2 linked regions of the Kluyveromyces lactis genome follow. The protein of the gene in region 1 interacts with the protein of each later gene in a pairwise test. Links are inferred from orthologs where the notes say so. Each region holds a gene or a part of one and is shown on either strand. Other genes may lie near its edges.

Evidence for each region.
Region 2: the proteins of ULA1 (region 1) and UBA3 interact in binary tests that used the Saccharomyces cerevisiae proteins (3 or more experiments, as listed by UniProt). The link is inferred for Kluyveromyces lactis from reciprocal best matches to the Saccharomyces cerevisiae genes ULA1 and UBA3.

What each region holds. Positions count from the first base shown.
Region 1 is NC_006041.1:1,269,933-1,273,549, reverse strand, and holds ULA1 (Ula1p), read left to right. Parts: upstream 1-1,395; coding exon 1,396-2,832; downstream 2,833-3,617. Other genes in the region: lipid-binding protein LSP1, read right to left, coding at 1-603; ATP-dependent RNA helicase SPB4, read right to left, coding at 2,859-3,617. UniProt on the Saccharomyces cerevisiae protein: Regulatory subunit of the dimeric UBA3-ULA1 E1 enzyme.
Region 2 is NC_006038.1:830,551-833,794, forward strand, and holds UBA3 (NEDD8-activating protein UBA3), read right to left. Parts: upstream 1,728-3,244; coding exon 786-1,727; downstream 1-785. Other genes in the region: ISA2 (Isa2p), read right to left, coding at 1-570; SND3 (Snd3p), read right to left, coding at 2,033-2,605. UniProt on the Saccharomyces cerevisiae protein: Catalytic subunit of the dimeric UBA3-ULA1 E1 enzyme.

The sequences.
Region 1 (3,617 bases):
ATAATTGAAAGCAGCCTTTAATCTTTCTCTGGTAATGTTAGACAATTGGGCTTCAGCAACCAACGATTCGGCTTCAGCACGAACCAATTCTTGCTCCAAAACTGGGATCTTGGTGGATTGAGGGTCCTTGTACTTCAAGTGAGCAATCTCATCAGTAATCTTTTGCTTACGGTCTCTTGATGGTTGCACAGAAGCTTCAATGTTTCTGATAGATTTCAAAGTAATTCTGTATTGGTCATACTTGTCAATGAATTGGTCTTGCAATTCAGCCAGTTCATAGATAAGAACGCCTAGCTTGTCAGTCACGTCAGACACGTCATCGTCATTTTCAGAACCCCATAGAGACAATTGTTTAGCAGCAACACGACGTTCACTAGCAACAACTTCTAAAGCTCTCAAGTAACCCTTTTCGGTCTTAATTAAAGAGGATAGCTTTCTAGATAACAATGGGCCGAACTGACCAGCAGTATTCTTTCTGATACTGGAGGCAAAAGAACCCTTACCAAAAAACTTAGACTTGGTAGTAGATTGTGGTGGAGCTGGAGTTTGGAGCTCTGAAGCTGTAGGAGCCTTCTTATTTCTCAAAGAGTAAGTTCTGTGCATTTTTGGAGACTAGTATCGGTATTTAATTTAACTTCTTGATATCGAATATTTTCTGTTTCCCCTATTTCTTAATCTAAAAGCAGCACTAGAAGAGTAAATTGGCCCAAAAAAAATTTCGATTCAACTAGATTAAACTATGTATCGAAGTTTACTTGATATACCTGCGTAAGACCCCTAAAATTAATCCGTCAGAAAACAAGACAGGTAGAAAGATAATCAATTACTTTATATAGAGGAAAGTTATATGTAGATAGCAAAAAAGGTTCTGTCCCAGGCCAAGAAACTCTGATTATTTTTTTACTGCCTATTGCCCTTTTCAGTTATTCCCAAATAAAAAAAAAAAATGCATAGAAAGAGAAAGAGAAACAGAACATGACCCACACTTACTTTCTCTAGGGACATTGACATGGCATGAGCCACGCAATTTTTCTCTTCTTTGCAAATTGCGGGCACGGTTCTCTATGTTGGTTTCTTCAGAAACTTTTGTTCGACTCTTCTTTTCGGCTTATCATTCGAGACTGGAAAGAATCGTATGTAGGTGGATGATATTATAGTACTTCCTGCTTCCGCTTTGTCTGGTGATGGTGGTGTTGGTTTATGATATAGCCGTAGCAAAAACAGGGCCAGGAAATGACGAACTAACAGTGTATTGCCGGCCTTATGTTGGCTCTTTAGAGTCTCTTATGAAGTTTTAGGGTAATGCTGAAGTACTCGTCCGGGTAACGGTATGCAGTTGATCTAGCTTGAACTTTGGTAATCCAACTGATTCGCTTGAACTTTTAAGCTCATCTCATGATAAATACGTCATTTGATTCCAATCAAGGCGGGCTCTCTTGCATTAGAACTAGTGTTAAAGATCAAGGACCAAGGGCGTTGGTACAGGTTATGGCTGATCAGATAAATGGTGGTTTGGATGACCGTTATGATCGACAGTTGATGATCTGGGGCCATTCAGGCCAGGATTTACTTTCTCAGTCTCATGTGTGCGTTGTAGACGATAATCAGACATTGTTGATGCGAGAATGTGTCAAGAGTTTGGCTCTCATGGGTATTCATGAGATTACTGTAGTTTTTGGCTCGTCTAATGGATCAGATTTTGTGAACAAGTCAAACTCGGATATTTTAGGTTTTGATGCGTTAGAAAGTATGAATCCAGATGTTACGTTCCATATTTGGAACGAGAATGCAGTTCCAATTGATTCACAACATAAGTTATGGAACTCTTTCTCTATTGTCATATGTTTGTGCACGGCTGGTCCGTTGTTACAACGTGTCATGAAACTCTCAGCAGTTCCTCTGATAATGGCATCCACCAACGATAACTTGGGATTTGTTCGTCTTATAGGCAGTGAACCTCATTGTGTCATTGATTCTCATGGACATTTCACTTTCGATTTAAGACTCAATCGTATGTGGCCTGAACTAGCAGAATATCACGAATCATTCGATGTAAAAAATATGTCACAGGAAGAGGTATCCTCCTTGCCTTATTCCGTTCTACTGTACAATGTGGGAAAATCATTAAAGTCAAAGAATATTCCTATCAATAGAAAATCAGTGAGGGCAGAGTTCATCGAACTTCACGATTCTATACTCTCTGGACCCTTGACCAATGATTTGAACTTTGTGGAAGCAGAGAGGTCCTCATTCCTGTTATACGATCAATCAGGACCATTTCCTCACAATTTGACCAACATCTTGAATAGTTTTCATGCTGAACCTAATTCTACAATTAATCGATGGGTATACCAATTTGTACGATGCATCAGAATATTTTACGATTTGAGAGGCGATTTACCTGTGTCCGCATTCATTCCAGATATGGAATCCTCAACTAAACTATTCAACGCGCAGAAAGCAGTATATCAACGTAAAGCTGCCAAGGATAAATCAGAAATCATGCGCATTCTAGCAAAGGAGAATTATAGTTTGATACCTGAACCACTCATAGATAAAATGCTCGAGAACTTAAAACATTTGGATGCAATTAAAATGGGTAGCCTCTCATCGGCAACTAGAACTATAAGTGAAAAACCGAAGTTCAATAAGTTGCTATCGCTACAAAACGATAGACATGATACAACGTTTGTCAGCCCTGCGATGGCATCAATTCTTGGTGCAATGGTATCACAAGAATGCGTGAAATTATTGACACATCAATATGTACCGGTTGAAAACACATTGTTATATGACGGGGACTCGAATGAAACAAGCACATTTATATTATAATAGATTTATCTACGATATGTAATTGACTATAAATCATCGAAACTTCCTTGCATGGAGTTATGCTTCTTTTTCTTGTTTTGTCTTACAAGGTCTTTCCAGTCTTGCTCAACTTCATCTTCTGATTCCTCATCGCCCCGCAGAAGTTTCTCTTCAATTGCCTTCCTCTTGATGGCCATAGCTGCTCTTCTTTCAGCTTTGGCTTCTTTAGTTAGTGTCTTATCGGACCATGCCATGTTCTTCTTCTTTAGCTCACTTTTCAGTTTCTTTTTATCGCTTATTTGCTTGAGGTTTTGTAATTCTTGTAACCTCGCCTTCTCCTTTTGTTTATCTAAGTAAGCAAATGTGTCTAAATTCACTGGTGGTGATACCAACCAACCTTCCTCCGGAATTTGGTCGGCAGCATACCTGGTTATTTCGGGCATACGTGGCAGACGTAACAACCCGTAAAAGTTCGCAACGCCGATGAAATCCATGGAGTGGAATCTGAAGATCGATGATGCAGTATGCTTTGAGTAGTATTTTATAAATGCAACGTATGCTCTTACGCTGTGATCGAATCTTGCTCTATCGTGTAAAATCCAATCGTGGAATATTTTGGTTAGATTCTCTACGCCTTTCAGTTCCACAGATTCTTCTTCTAGTTTGACGTTTTTCACTTCCAGGAATGGTACGTAATCTTCTTCTCTACCTTCATTTAAAAACACAAGTGCCTTACCAATCCTATTAGCCCTACCTGTTCTACCACATCTGTGAATGAATATATCTGCATCTGTTGGTGGATCAAG
Region 2 (3,244 bases), on another chromosome or scaffold:
TGTTTCCTGGTCTAAACCGAAACTGCTACCGCATCCACAACTACTGGTCATACTTCCTCCAGTAATCTTGAAAGTGGAACCGATTAATTCGGTACTATATGTGAGAGTGGTATCGTTCAAAATCTTTAGGGACTGCTCATCAATAACAACTTCGCCGATGGAATCAGGTAATACATAAACGATATCCTTAACAGTCTCAAAATCATCTTCGTCATTCAGGTCATCGGTTTCTTGTTCCTGGTTACCGATTTTCTTGTCAGATTCCGGTACCAGCTTCAAATTGTACTGAAATCCGTGACATCCACCAGATTCAACCGTCACCCTAAGAATCTCTTTTGAAGCCTTGTATATCTCAGCCAGTCTCTTGGAAGCTCTGTTGGTGATGCTAAAATGCAGATCCGGTACTTCATTAATAATCTTTGCTGGTCTGATCGGAGTATCCAATATCGATGATGGTGATGATGATTGCCAGCGTACTCCCAAGGCAGCTCTAACGGGGACCTGGTTCAGTATCCGGGGTGCAAGCGTCAAAGGAGTCCTAGAATATGGTAATAGTCGTACTGGCCACATGTTGTTTGGCTCACTATTCCTCTCTTGTATGTCTTTACGATATTCATTGTATGTACTTGTGAAGTTGAATCATCGTTTCGCTTATTAAAGAATTTCATTCAAGATAATAAGAGGAATATTGCCTATGAGCCGGGAATATCATTAAAAACAGTATATAATGCTTGGCGAGGGTGTGAAGCGAACTGTATATAGAATCAACCATTATATGTCATGTGCTATGCGAACACGCTGCACACGGTACAACTAGCATCCCTTTCATGCCTGTAAGAGAACATGGTTGCACCAGCTTCTCCATTATACATCGTGAAAGTTGGACATGTCTCAATATCGATTTTATCAGTGAGTAAGTCGATAGCTTGTTTGCAACATTGACCAGCAATGATTGAGTTTGTAGTAGTAACGCTGGGTATAATAGATTTTAGTACGCCCAGAACGTATCTTGTTGTTAGAGTTGAATGGTGTATGTTGAATTCCTCCGCTCTATGTAATGATTTTTCGTACAACCACTGTAGATCATCGGGAGACTCCAAGTCATGAGGTCTGTTAGGAAATTCTCGAGGCCAGAGAATGATGGAAGCGTATTGAATGCAGTGTGCTAGGGTTCTTGGGTTGGATGCAAGTGTACAGAGCGGATAAGTTTCTGTATTTTGCGGCAGCGTGGAAAGAGAACATTCGTAACATGAGGTGAACCCAGGCACTATGAGCTTACAGTTACCCATAAGTCCCTCCGTGGCACCGTCTATGAAAGGTATTACGGTCTTGAAGTTGGATTTGACAGTTACATCGTGTAATTTGAAGTTGATCCAACGTCTTGCCTCGATAGAATCGAGTCCGGATACGATTATATCGAATTGTGAGATGAAGTCATCGTTGAACTGAGTCAAATCTTGATTGTGAGGCACCACATGCACAAAACCTGTAACTCCATTCTTGCAAGGTATTTGCAATCTATTGATAGCTTCTGCAGCTACAGACGCTTTTGGTTTGCCAATATCACGGGTACTGAATAGAAATTGACGGTTCAAATTGGTCAATTCGATGGTATCCATATCGACAATATGTAATTCTGGCAAACCGTACAGCGCCAATGTCTTGACAATCTCACATCCAAGACCACCGGCACCAAGGATCAATATTTTTACATCACTGACATCCATTTTGCTTGGAGGATATTGATCTGGTCGGCTCGATCAGTAACAGTTAAGGGTTGGGTCTGATCTTTATAGAATAATATTCACGTTTCTTTCAAATAAAGTGCGAAGTCTATGTGTACAATTTAACACTTAAACACGAAAGAAACTGAACAAAAGCTACGATAAAACATCCTATTGAGGTATCTTAATAGTTGTATACATACACGCATGTACATTTATATACATATATACGTGTTTATTTATAAGAGAATGGTGAGAGATGGATGAAGAAAACACATGATTGGAAAACGCAACGATGCGCGTCCCGATTATTCAGCTTTGACACCACCGTTACCAGCCTTTTCAGCAGTTTCGATAGATTTCTTGTCAGTCTTTGGTTCACTGGCACCACCGGCACCACCGAACAAAGATGGAGTCTTGAAAGGTCTCTTCAAATCACCAGAAGCTGGTTTTCCGAACAAATGAATTTGAACTTCGTTATGTTCCAAAGCGGACTTGATTGGTGAGATGGTTTGCATGAACAATGGGTTGGTGTATTTCATGTACAAATGCATGAAACCCATCATAGCCAAACCAGTGTAGATGGATTTAATGGCAGAATCAATCTGTTGTAAATCGTAATCACGAACGGTAGTGACTTCCAATTTTTTCTCGGTTTGACCACCCAATGGGTTAGCTGGAGCCACGTATTTCAAAGTGGCCAAATCGTTCTTCTTAACGATTTGAGCTCTAGCGTATTGGTAGATGGACCAAGTGATGGCAACAGAAGCGACATAAGCGATACGGATGTACAACACGATCGAAGGATCCTCCATATCCAAACGACGAGATACTTGCATCATGATCAACATGATGACTAGGTTACTGATTTGAGCATTCATGGTGGTGGTTAGAGAGTTACAGCTGGGATTGGCTTGGTAAGAAAGAGCACTTCTCTTCTAACTATGAATTGCTTATCGACGGCAGATTCCAGTGGACAAAGGACAACTAACTAACTAATTATTAGAAAAGGCATACATAAATCAGTAAGTATATAAAGTTGAAAAAGAGTAGTTCCGATAATACGTGCAACAAGTAGTAGTGCATCATTTAATAGATACGTATGTGAAAAGATGGTATACAGATTTTATTTTAAATTCCAGTCTGAATGTGGAAGAAGTGACGAGAAAATCTTTTGACGATGAGAGAGATACCCATTGTGTTACCCGGAATAACGTTGAACGGTGGCGAAAATACAAATATAGCAAATATACATATATCCGGGTAACATAAGCGGGCGCGTTATAACAGTAATCACGTGACTAGAAGAGCCACACTTTTTTGACAGCATACACCGAGCGTAGAGAAAGAAAGAGTTAGCTGCGCTAAGTTGTTACCCGCACCTCGGAACAAACCGGATCGGGCTATGTCTGTGAATGTTCCTTTCCCCTGTAGCAACATTCTCTCGTATTTCTTTTTGTGAACTTTGGTCCTTCTTTGATTCTTCCTCCGCCATTTCGTTGGGTACCTCTCTGTTCCAA